Drosophila melanogaster: one gene and its partner. The protein of the gene in region 2 interacts with the protein of the main gene of each other region in a pairwise test. Each region holds a gene or a part of one and is shown on either strand. Other genes may lie near its edges.

Region 1 (5,688 bases), on a different chromosome or scaffold from region 2:
CCCAGGATGCACGCTTGCGGTGAGTTTGATCCTTTGGTCATCCCTAAGACCTAGTTTAACTAATAAACTATATCTTTTAGCCGCACAACAATATATACCAAACGCTAGGCATATTTTGTCCATCCGCACACATCGAGCATGTCGATATGCTGCGCACCGAAGATGTACTTATAGATTGGCAGAAGCCTATGTACCTGAACTTTACGCACATCGCCATTATGAATCGCCTGGATGACTTCTACTCGAAGTTCGGTGTGATGGAACGACTCAGTGGTGATATCTACGTGTGCAACAAGCTGAACGCCGACCTGGAACTGGAGCCGCTGCCGGAGGACGCCGAGATGCGTCTGCTCAATCTGGATAACGTGCAGGGCATACATGATCTATATCCTGCCAATGAAATCGAGTGCGTCCAGCTGTTTGACATCCTCGTGCGCAAGCTACCCGGCCTGGGCATCTTTCGCAAGGAAACCGGAGAGCTAGCCGCCTGGATGGTCCATTCATACTACGGTGCCATGTTCTCAATGCAAACACGTCCAGACTTCAGGCGCATGGGGTGAGTAGAGCTACAGATTCCTTCTGTAAACTGCTCATTTACTGATCAAACAATGCATTTATTTTCGCACAGCTATGGAATCCGTCTGGCCAAGTCGCTGACCCAACTGGTGATCGAGCGCGGCTACACGCCCTTCGTGGTGATACGTCCTGGTAACGATGCGTCCCGCAGTCTGTACACGAAGCTGGGCTACGAGAAGGCATTCGAGACGTGCCGAGTGCGGATGACACCGGACTGCTACGAGGACAGCACCGTGGGCACCATTAGCAACACGTCCTACGGAAAGTTTCCGCCGCTGCCGCAGGGCGACTGCGTGGTGGTGACCAAGTTGCGGCGCAAGCATGTGCCCGGCGAGAGCCAGACGGTGGACGAGGGCATCGAGGATATGTTGGCTGAAAAATGTGATATCAGCGGCGACGAGGCGAGGGAGCGCAAGACCACGACCGACGAGGGCATCGGGGAGGACAAGTAGGCCAGGTTGGGTTAGGGATACGAGATGCGAGTTGAATGAGATTAGAGATCGATCGGAGCGCTACGCCCACGCAGAACTTATGCTTAAAGCTGTAAGCACCCATTAGGACTCTTTAGGACAGACAGGACATGGCACACATCAGGTGGCGTTGATTTTTTAAACAATTATATTAACGAGAAAACCAAGAAATTGTACGAGTATATTTATAGATGGTATATGAAGCTTCCTCAAACAGAAAAAAGCGGCGGCGTCGATTGGTGAATGCGGATATTTCGGCCAGAATAATCAAGGGATTTATTTTATATGGGTATTGATTAGGATTCGGTGACAAGAACTAAACCTTAACCAGGGGAATTTAAACGATCAAGTGAGGCGCTGAAGTCAGACATTTTAAATGGGGAATCGAGGACAAAGAGAGAACATTTTTAATTTTTTGCTAAAAATGCTTTTACAAAAGTGAGCTCCAAGAACGAGCAGAGAACAAAAGCCGAGTGGGGTGGCTCAATGCAAATGCAAATCAAGGAGCGCATCAATTTATTAAAACTATTATATATATTAACTCTATATATCAAATTGTTAAACGAACTAAACAAGCAACATACACCAACTACTTCTCTCTACTGGCTCGCCACGCAAAATCTCTGAACAGGATAATCTCGAATAATCTCGAAACAACCGAAAACCGAAAAACACACGAAAATCTCTCGCTTGGGCCATGGAACAGAGCTATGCACAATTTCCTCTATTTAAAGAAGCCGTTTCAGAATACTACATATATATATTTTTCAAACTATATTGAATACTTTCGATGACCCAAACGAAGTGCTTTGATTTTAAATGGTCGCGTACCAACCAAACATATTTGGATTTATAGGCTTTTTTCAAATTTATATATATACATATAAACCCAAAACCCCATGAAGGGAATACGAAACGAAGCGAAAACCAAACAAAAATACAAAATAAATATATATTTTACTATTACGAAATTTTATTAAACTACGCAAACGAGTACTCAATGATTTTGCTCCTATTTAGCTGAACTAAAAAGAAACAAACGAAATAAAAAACACGCCAAAGATGTCTTCTGCTTCATTTTAAGTACATAGCCCCCAAACCCGATTCCAAATTACCAATTCCTGATTCCCACTGGCCCCTTGGATGATTTTCGATGAGAATCTGGATCATCTTTGGTGGCTTTCGATTACGAAAATGCAAAAACCGAATCTCAATATGTATGCAAGAAAATCAAATTAAATGAAAAGTTATATATTACAAACTGCTATATTGTATGTACTCGAACTAAAAAACGAATGAGAAAAAAAAAAACAAACACAAAAACCTAAAAGAAGCAAATTTAAATAAATAACAATATTGAGACAGCACACTGAAGGTTCTTTCCGTCTCTGACGAAAAAGATAACGATTGCGATGGCAACTAAACGCAGATAGCTGAAGGTAAAGATAGTTTTTGCTCTAGAAATATTTTCTTGAGTATTTACGATACTTCCCACATTCATTTGCAAACAAAACAGAAGCTCTTGCTAAAGTCCAGCATTAAAAATATTAATTGTTTGCATAATTTACAAGCTCACTTTAGCCGCCGACTGGCCTCAGCTGGCGCAGACACTGCGCTAAAATTATCTGCTCATTGTTAATGAAATTTACGTGTGCAAACACAACAGCTCACTTAGATAAACAGAGTCGGACGGATGCGCGGCAAAGATGAAGACAGCCGCCCATCAGGGCATGTGGCAATGTGTAGTATGTGACTGGGGTTTTGCAACATTCTTGGCGCTCAGCTCACTTGACGGTAAATTAAATTTTATTTATGTATAAAGAAGAAGGCCTAAGTACGTCGTATGTGGCTTAAAACTAAGCAATAATGGATTTGTAACCTGGACAACTGCTGCTACTTCTGTTCGACCGTGCTTAGCTGGTTCTTCAGATGGTTGGCCACATACTGCCAGTACTTGCGACGAATCACATCGTGTTTGGTGGCCATGTCCTCGCACAGACCGTACACCTTGCGGGCGAGTTGATCGCTATCGCTGGCCTTTAGTTGGAGCGCCTGCTCCTGGTAGAGATCGATGAGGAAGGCCAGCAGGTAGGGCGATCGATTGCCAGCCTGGTAGAGCTCCTCCACAAAGTCCACGACATCCGGGTAGCTGCTCAGCAGGGCATTTCCACTGTCGCCCTGCCGCATCACGCCCACCAAATAGTTCCAGGCACTCTCGTTGTTTTTGATGATGCGAATGCGATTCATCGTGTACGACAGTTCGCGCTGGATCAGCTCCGGCGTGAATCCAAAATGCTTGATCACAAAGAAGCGCTGGTTCCAGGCCGAATTGTTGCGCTGATCCTCGCTAATGAGACGATCCACAAAGCTAAGTTCATCGTCATAGAGACTAAAAGTAGTGGACATTAATTTATAGAAAGTAAATCTTAATAAACATACGACTACTCACTTAAAGCTGCGAATGGCCCACTGGCGATGTTGCCAGGCGTGGTAGTTCTTGGCATCGCCATCGTTGACCAGGGCGTTCTCAGTAAGCTCCAGCTCGTTGCTGGGATCGTTCAGCATCTCGACGATGACGCGACGGTGGTGCCAAACCTGGTAGTTTTTCGAGTTCTGGCCAATCACCTCGGTCAGATAGTCCAGTTCCGCATACAGATCAGCCTTTAGTTCGCGCAGAACGTCGCGTCTGTATTGCCAGACCGTGTAGTTAGCCGGATTCAGACGCAGTGCGTCCGTGGTTAGGTCCAAGGCACGTTGGCTCTTCTCCCCCCGCGCAATTATGGCCCTCATGTAGTCGAAGACCTCGCGAACTACGATGTACGGAGATATTTGCTCAGATAAAGTGACATCCAGAGATAAAGCCGCATGCATTACTCACACTTTTGACTGTAAGCAATGGACACCACCGGATTGGGACCGTCGTCCTGGGCGAGCGGTTGCACATCTTCCCAGTCGGAGCGTTCGCTGTAAGCCAGCCAGTCCGTGCCCAGATATTCCTCATCTGAACTGTCTCCCATCGCGGTTAGTTAAAAACAAAACTGTTGAGCGCGGGTGCGGGCGGAATTTTATGTTGTTCTTTTTTGTCCGAATTTATCGGGCCTATCGATATCGGGGGCGTTTTATTGTCCGAACCTATCGGTGTCGATTTCTCGATAGCAGAAGGCGGTATTTAATACTAAACTAGAAATACCAGCGGCTTTTGAAATATTATTTGAAATTCAAAAATAATAAATACAAAGGTTTTACAATTATTTTGTTTAAACATTTATTAAGAGTTCAATAAAAGTGCACAAAGTGACTGATTTCTTTAAAACTAGACGTAGACATCCGAGTGCTCATTTTACCATAATATTCGTTTCATTGGTATACGAGTAATTCTAGAAACGAGGCTTAAACGTGGCCGGATACTGATTAAAGCGCGGACGCAGTGCAGCTTTTGACTTCTCGAACTTCTCCCCCGAGTGGCCAAGGATCACACCATCGACCAGCTTGCCAGGATGGTCAGCAGCATTGGATCGCTCCGCATTGGCTTCGGCCACATCGATGATCCGCGGATTCTTGCGGTACCTGTACCACCAGTACTCAAAGACCAGCGTGATGCAGGCCATTCCAATGCCCACGAATATGACAATGAAGACGCCGCCAATGTTCTGGATCGAGATGCCATCCGATTGATCCTCCGGCTTATCGCACTTGGCCAGAGCTTCGTCGTTCTTCCACCACTTCTCCTTGAGCTTCTCCAGCTGTCGTTTGTTGAGCAGGGTCAGGATTCTAAAGCACCACAACGATATGAAGAAGCTCACATCTATATTTTCCCATTACTCACGCATTATTAAACTGATCCTTGAGATGCGATCCCTGCTGAACAGCTATGGCATAGGGTTTCCGGGAGAACTCCTCGCCCACCACCTGCAAATCACAGTTGGTCAACTGCAGGTAGCGTATATCGGTGGCATCGCCCAGAAAGGCAAAACCCGTGGCAGCTGTCGAATTTCTAACCCGGGCCACCGCTTCGTCGAGGGTGGCCGGTAGCTTCGCCTCCTGCATGGCCTGCCACATCTTGGTATACTTGTCGCTCACTGGATAATCCCAAACAGCCAGCTTGGAGCGCTCCACGGCGGTCAGGGAGTCGTTCAGCGACAGATCCTTCCAAATCTCGTAAAACATCTGCTCTATGTTGGACATACGCTCGAAATATGTCATCGCAGATGAGCCATTCAATGGAGCGTATAGGATCTTGTACTGCTTCGCCAGGTCATCCAAGCTTTCAACGGGCGTATCCAAACGTGATACGGTCAAGAAGGCAGCCAAATTGGCCGTGTACGAAGCAATAATGATAAAACTTAAGGGAAGAACAAAAAAACTCTTTTAAAAAGGAAAGAGTTTACAAGCAAATGAAGAGCAACTACCCACCCGAATAGCCACCAGGTGGCGGCCACTAAACGGCCAGACAGATTCTTTGGAGCCTCGCCACCGCCTTGAGGTGTCAATGAAGTCATGCAGAACCAGAGGCACTCCTTCAGATTGAACTCGCGCTTCTCCTCGTCGTCCTTGTACTTCTCTCGATTGTTCTGATAGCTATAGGGACTCCAGCGATCGAAGATCCACATGAGAAAGCTGGTAAAGAAGTAGGCAGCCAGGA
Region 2 (7,940 bases):
GCTGGCTGACGTGCTATCCATGGTTGGTAAAAAATATACGTAAAACTCCTCGTTGTGTGGCCTTTACTGCTGATCAAACACGAACCGATTCCTTTAAAAACTACTGAAATCTTTGATAACATCCAGACACTAGGAGTATAAAAATGAACTGAGTTCCGGATCTAAGTTTCTTTGATAGATTGTGTTGTAGCCTACTTGGCAGCCATATTTTTCCAATTCAATCAAATGGCAAGCCAATTTAATTTCATTACTTTTGACTCGAAAAAATGTTGGTGATGTGTTTATCCACATCAAAACAATATAATCCGAAGTATTAATAATATCATTGCTGCACACAAAAACCAACATATCAACCGTTTGTTGCCAATGAATATATTTAAAATAAAATCGACAGCGGCAGGATTAATTTAATTCAATAATGTGGAATTTACTGAGTGAAAATGTATTAATAGCCAAAGTAAAAATGCAATATGGACATCGAAATGGCTGGCACTTTTACGTCCACACCTTTCAAGGGATTTGACCTGGTTTTTCCATCCGTAGTCCATAGTTAAAAGCGCGAAGAACTATGCAAATTTCCGTGATTGGCGGCTAAAACTCTGGATGCCACTTTCGCAGCTCACTGATGACTTTGCACTTCGCTTGTCGTCGTCTTCGGAAAATTGATTCATAATTTCTGCACATTTTCACTTTAATCAGCAAACTTTGATTACATTTTCGCAGCGTGAGATGGCGCAGAAAAGTACCTGATATCAATTTAAAAGCTTCGAGTAGAACTCCCATAGGAATCTGAAACTTAAGTTCATATTTTTCGAAGACAAGACTCATCCATGGCCGGGCCAATCACGATGAATCAAGATGACTGGTACTCATCAAGCCAATTAGCTGCCAATTACCCCACTAATGAGCGACCACATTAACCCCACAAAGGATCCCGAATTGGAGGGCAGTCAAGAATAATGTCCTGCCAACGGAGCGTGGACTCTGAAGACATGTTTATTAATATCCCGAACCCGAACTCAAGGCCGGCCACCCTGATAAACGAAAGTGCCACGTTTGTCGCCAGCTCGGTTCGGGGGAAAAAAAAAGGAAACAACATTTTCACCAGCAATTGGCTTTTATGGCCGCCGCCTCTTTACGACCAAGTCCGCTGACCTTATCATCAGATTCCGGGTTCTCGGATCCGGTGTCCTGTACGGAAGCTCCTGTTTCATTAGCAGCCCCCGCTGCTGTGGTGTCCATTTCCAAGAAAGGAGGAGGGTCAGCATCTTCAACAGCAGCAGCTTTACTTCAGAGCGGCAAAGTTTTGCTTTAACCCGTCAAATATTTCCCCCGTTGAAATGAAGTAATGAAGCTGGGAACCGCCGACACGAAATTAAAAATCAACTGTCTTGAAGGGAAAACAACAGCGAAATGGAAACTGTTGCCGGGGAAAAGTTCCTATTCCGTTGGTGGAAAACTTTTTGTGCGCTCATAAAAATCGAGACAGGGCAAATTGTCTTCCAGTATAATTGCACAAAAGTTTGACTTTGAAGCTCGTCCGTAATTGAAAAGACAAAAGCGCAGCAAAGCAATTGGCCCGGAATATAAGCTGGTATATGTATGACTACGCTGCGTTCGGTTATTCTATGGTGTGGCCAAAAGGGATGACTCTTCATCAGCATCTCTCGGTGCACACGCACTGTGTGCAGCATTCATGTTGTCTTTCCTTCCATTTGCAGCAAAGGCGAAGTAGGAACAGCTAATGAATTGGCTGCCTGCTGGAGCAGAGTAAACACGCAGCACAGCTCAGCTCAGCTCAGCTCAGCAATCTACCTGAATAAACTGACACGAATCGGAAGGTGCAGGTGCGCATTGGGTATCGAAAACACCTATCCACCTACATATCTGCCAATGAAGTATGAAGTATCTGCATCCCGCACAAAGTCGAATTAATGGAGGGGGGCGTTGAAAATCAATATTCATAAAATGTAATACACATTTAATTGAGATGAATTGCACGCATTCAGCATAGGCTGCAATCCATTTTAATGGAATGAGTGCACTTAGGTATTTAACTGTATTATACTGCACTTCTACGGGGCACGGGGCTTTATAAGGATATAATACCCCAAGTCCATCAGCAGCAATTATAGCCATTTATACTCATAGATTTGGTTTTGTTAAGCATTTAACGCTGAAATAGTTTTAAACATGTATGTATTCAGCTGGGGTAATTCGTTTATTTCCAGGAAATAATATTGTTTTATCAAATCTCCCAGGTGAAGTTAAGGTCAGGACCGCAGGCCTCATAACATAGATGTGAATGGGAGTAGAAAACCCTGGAAGTTGAGCCACAGTGCCACAGTGCCACAGCATTTTGGGCTTATGCAGCTGCCACACATAGAGGCAAAATAACAAGCAATAAAATGTGTACGTGTCTAAATTTTAATATGGTTTCGGTACGTAGTGCGTACGCACATCCAGTTGAGATGGTATGTACATTCATTGCGGAGTGTGTGGGAATGTGTGTGTGTTTGCCAGTCCCTGTTTATTTGACTTGCTACTTATTTATTACGAAGCATAATGAAATTTCACGTAATCCTCATTAAAGCCAGAACAAAGGCACGGAGTTTGGGCAAACAACTTCAAGTCGCTGCTGCTGTGTACATTTGCACATTCAAATCTCAGTCATGACTCAATTTCAGCAATAAGAGCTGCTCCGAGGTGTAGATGAGCACCCCACTCGCCGGGACACAGATTATCGACTTTTGAGGCACGAGCAGACACACAAAAGCCAGTCAGACAGACGTCTCCATCGCCCACACGTCCAATACAAATAAATCAGACAAAGCATATAAATCTAAATTGTATCGCATTGTGGCGCATTTCACCTCACCTTCGTCTTCAGCTGCTTTATTGGCAAATTGGCGGGTTGAGGGATTGGCCTTTGTGTGCCAAACCTCCTGGCTTCCACTTGGAGCACCTGTATCGGGTACTCGGTATCGGTTCGATTGCCTGCCACGTTGATTTCCCATCGATTTTGGCAACAGCCCGCCCGCCACAAATGGTCATGCCATTCAGCCCTTTTTTTCTGCGGTTTCCATTCTGCTGACAGCGCAATTATCGGTGGAGTATATTGAGTGCTGAAATATCAGCCAATATAGCAATGCCAATTTTATATAAAAGTCACTTTAAACGATAACCAAATAGGTGTTTCTTCAACATACTAAGCATGTTTGAGTAAACTCCACGACTAGTTCAACAAATTGTTCCGGCTGATCCTCATACACACAGTGTCCAGCATCCAGAATCTGTACCACTGTATTTGGAAAGTATCTCTGCATCACGGCAATACTGGTCGTGGTCACGAATTCCGACTGGGAACCGGCTATGAGCAAGACTTCGCCCATGTAGGGACGCAGTCCGCCCAAAGTGGCCTCGTAATTGATCATCATCTCCCCCCAGGAGCTTAGGACCGCCTGGGGATTAACTGCCCAGCCAAAGGTGTTGTCCTGCATCTTGCGCAGATTGTAAATAATGCGACGCAGCTCGGAGGCGTCGTGGACCACATCCTGGAACAGTGGCAGGATGAACGTACGCCCCTCGGAAAGTGATAGATTTGAGGGAATACTGGGCGCCACCTGGAGCATCATCTCGAACACCTGCCGAGTGAGATAGAAGTTACTGGGCACCGGTGCTGGTGTGATGTCCACCAGTATGACCCGCTCGACGAGTTGCGGCTGAGTGAGTGCCAGTGTCATCATTGCCCGACCGCCCATTCCATGTCCAAGTGCAACGATCTTGTTCAGTCTCTGGTGGCTCATCAGGGCCTCCACGTCGGCGGCCAGGTGCATTGGCGAATGCCCGGTTATGTAAGGACTAAGGCCATGATTCCGAGCATCCACGGTGATCACCTGGCGCAATCCAACCTGACTGAGGTTAACAGCTACCTGGCGCCAGGATTCCAGTGACAGATTGAGGTCGTGCATCACCACAATTGGTGGCGCCTGCATCTGATTGCGCGGCGAGGTGTAGGAGACATACTCCAAACGAGTGCCCTGGACAAATGACTGGAAGTTTCGCAGCACTTGGGCTCCGCCTTTGGAAAGGATCGAGCCGAGAAGTCGCTGTCTTGCCATGGTTTCCGAAAATTTAGAATAGCTGTCAGTTCTGCAGGGAACTACATTAAAAGCTGGGTTTTCTTTTGTTATCCATGTAAAAATGATTTCTTTTTGCTAGAAATTCAGAGAAATCTCTACAATTTAAAAGTTCAAACGAAATCATGCTACATTTTAAAACTTGGCATACATTGATTTATTCAGTTTCTATTGACAGTTTAAAACGAATTCTATCGAATGTTACAAAGAATAAATCAAATCAATACTATCATAGTAGTTGTGTTGTTTTCAGTTTAAAAATATCGTAATGGCATACATCAATGCGGTTGTTATTCCTTGCCATTGCATAAAAGCAACACTTTTATTCTCATATTTATTTATTTCAGACAACATCTCGAGTTGTACCTTGGGATATTCCGTATACGCCCCGTAGCGTCCGTCGTCTCGGGACACAATGGTATTAGCCGTAATCCACTGGGGCTAATGCTTCGTTTAACGCTCCGGAGTCGGAGTCTAAGCGCTTTTATGTCGCTTACAATTGCGGCTGGCAGTGCAAATCCCCAAATTGCGTAATAAATAAAATGCATTTGCGTGGAAAATTAGGAAATGGCAGAAACAGCTCTACGAGAAGGGGGAGTAAATTCAAATTTCCACATTTTCATATTTTACATTTTTACATTTTCATAATGTGAGTGCGCTGAGTTTGCCATCACAGAGGGCATAAATCTTGGCGAGTGCTCAGACACAGAGACAAACAAATGGTCTGAGACATTTCTTGTTACTTGAATATTCTTTTTTTTTGGTGCACAAATCGTAAGATGAAGTTCGTTTGTTTTTGAAAACCAAGCCAACGGACGCCGTCTAATGGCTGGAATAGAAATGAATGCAAATTTTCAAACTATTTTTACCCGGAATCCCTCGCTTTTGAACTTCGATTTAGCCATTAAAGTGGGTACACTTCATGGCAGCTGTCTGTCTTACTGTTTGACAGTATCGAAGGCACTTCATATCCAATTTCAGGCTATTGACACAATGAAGCACCCTTGAGTAGTACTCCGCTGGCTTGGAAGAACATAAAACGAACTAAATAAATAAACTGGAAACCTCATTTGGAGCCATAAAAACGAACTTTCGAATGCAAACCCACAGTTGAAGTCGTGTTTTGCCCCTTTTCCAATCAGCCCCATTGAAAAGTTTAGCGACAATGAAATCCTCCGAATGCTGGATACGACCCCCCGGGGAATCAGACCTCCGAATTCCCATCAAAGGATTACCTCAGTCTGTCAGCGCATTCCATTCTAAGCCTTGGACGCTGTCCTGTTGCCACGCGGCTAAATACTTGCCCGAATTGGGGGAATGCCTTTCATCTCCATAGCATCAAAATCTTAGAGAGATTCCGATTGGGAGCAAAAAGCCGGCGTAATTATCCGCGCAGGTGCACTGAACCCTATTCAGCAGGAGAGCGGAATACGCAGCAGGACTCCCAGAGAGTCACTTATAAACAAAAACAAATGCATGCAACAGATTGGAGGAGACTAACGGCATAAATGCTATTTCGGTTGAATAACTTAAATAATAAATGATTTGACATTGAATACAACTAAGCAGAACATTTTTTAAATATATATAACCTTAGAGAATTTCTAATTAACAAAACTAAAAAACTTAAAATTTAAAAGAACTTTGTGACAGGTTTAAAAACCGAGTTGCTAACCGGTTATTTTCCGAAAACGGTTCGTGTCACGGCTGTCTCGAAAGCACTGTGTATAATATTCAAGACATCCACCAGCAGCACATAACCGTTTCGAGGGTTGGAGTAGTAACTAAGAATTCTCTTTGACATAAGTTAATAATATTCTAATATGCTAATATTAGGATTCTAATAATATTCTAATATTCTGGAATGCTTGTTCTCTTTGCCACAGTCAAGAACTGCACAGCTATTTTTGAATTTATACAATATGTTATTATGGTAAAAAATAAATTAAAAATTTGTATTCCTATACCAAAATATACGTAAACCGGTTATTTGAGCGTGCTAAGTATTAGTCTTAATCCAGTTCAATTCATTTGGTTAGCTATAGGTAACAATAGATTATTATCAAAAAATCTGCAAATTGGTTAAAAAAAAATAATTTTTTTATTCAGTACGATATGCCTGATCTAATCAGATTTGAAAGTCAGAACATCAGATTTCACCTCAACAACCCCCCAGCAAGGACGACCAATCGGATCGCACCAAACTGTTGCCAATCCAAAATGGCCTCTAAGCAGATGCTGCCATCCGCCGGGGAGGAAAATCCAATAAGCAAAATTCGGAACAGCACCGAGCTGACTTCGCAGCCCGTGAGGACAATCAGAATTTATTGCAACACAGTCTTCCAAGCAGAACAGACCCAAGGTCTTCCAATTGCAGTATCATCCAATACAATAGACAGTCATGCAGCATCCACATCCCATTGACCAGCCCACCTACATGCCGGATGTTCCATTCCAGCCGCTTTGGGGTCAGGAGGCTCCACCGCCGCCCATTGTTCCATACCAAGAGCTCATCGCCGGTTTTCCCTGCACCGACTTGTGTAAGTACCTCAAACGGAATTTGGAATTTGGAATGGAAGTGCTTAAGATGTTTTTCTATTCTAAAGCTCTGTGGCAGCGCTCGCAAGTAACTCCTTTGGTGCCCCAGCGTCCGTCGACAAATGGGAGGGCCAACGGCTCCTCCAGCTCCTCGAAGAAAACGCGTCGCCGTGTGGCATCAATGGCCCAACGGAGAGCTGCAAATATCCGCGAACGCCGTCGCATGTTTAACCTAAACGAGGCCTTCGACAAGTTGCGCCGCAAGGTGCCCACCTTCGCCTACGAGAAACGACTGTCCCGCATCGAAACCCTTCGCTTGGCCATCACCTACATCGGATTCATGGCTGAGCTGCTGAGCGGCACGCCCTCGAACTCCCACAAATCGCGGTCCGACGTCTATGGGAGTATGAATGGTCACCATCAGGCGCCACCACCGGCAATTCATCCACATCATCTGCATCCGGCGGCGGCATATCAACGCGATTTCGCTTCGCCCTATAATCATAGTTTGTCCTAGTGACATTTCTCAGGAAATCCAATATTCAAATAAATGCTAAAACTGCTTCTCGTCAGATCAGTTTTGTTAAAATATTGTAATTATAGGAATAGATAAATAATGTTTTCTTAAAACTTTATATATTGTTTAAAAAGCAATAGAAATATTAAAAAATATTAAAAAGAAAGAAATTTATTGTTTCAAATGTAATTTCTTTAAAAAGTGAATTATGACTGGTCACATGAACATCAAGAATTTATATTCATGGGAGCAATTAAATTAGCCAGAACATTGAATTTTTGCACTTAAATGGATACTGTAAAAAGATATTTTTTGTATTGCAGTTATTATTATTATTATTTGTGATAGAAAAGGAAAAGGAGAGGACAATTAAACAAAATCAGTGGATAATCCAATTTAGTTTTCGAAATGGTAAACAAAGTGATTGTCTAAACTGGGTGGTGACTTTAAAGCCAAAAGTACCACCGAAGTACACCTGATAATCCCCCTAAGTAGAACCCGCACTTGTTTTAAAAAAAAAAACCCAGCCAAAACCAAAGCGAACCATGTCGTGATTTGCGTGCGAATTTGTGCAGCTGGAAAGGCAACACATGCCCAGGTCCATTCGGTGGTCCCAATGAAGTCACATTGCATACAAATCACGAATGGAAAGAAAACTATTATACAAAATTTGACAAGGCAAACAAAGCGTGAAATTATTATTAATAAATTGATGCACTCGGAGGGGAGATGCCAAAAGGGAGGAC

What was found.
Region 1: the proteins of CG14717 (region 2) and Fnta interact in a two-hybrid assay, tested with the Drosophila melanogaster proteins (one large-scale study listed by BioGRID).

Annotation. Positions count from the first base shown.
Region 1 is NT_033779.5:4,826,545-4,832,232, forward strand, and holds Fnta (farnesyl transferase alpha subunit), read right to left. Parts: upstream 4,150-5,688; 5' UTR 4,064-4,149; coding exon 3,925-4,063; intron 3,857-3,924; coding exon 3,496-3,856; exon of another isoform or gene 3,436-3,495; coding exon 2,940-3,435; 3' UTR 2,670-2,939; downstream 1-2,669. Other genes in the region: CG15628 (uncharacterized protein), read left to right, coding at 1-19, 81-556, 629-1,028; Ir25a (ionotropic receptor 25a), read right to left, coding at 4,424-4,817, 4,873-5,388, 5,460-5,688.
Region 2 is NT_033777.3:11,692,827-11,700,766, reverse strand, and holds CG14717 (uncharacterized protein), read right to left. Parts: upstream 4,259-7,940; 5' UTR 4,122-4,258; coding exon 3,201-4,121; 3' UTR 2,440-3,200; downstream 1-2,439. Other genes in the region: CG14718 (uncharacterized protein), read right to left, coding at 1-21; Fer3 (48 related 3), read left to right, coding at 6,541-6,679, 6,746-7,194.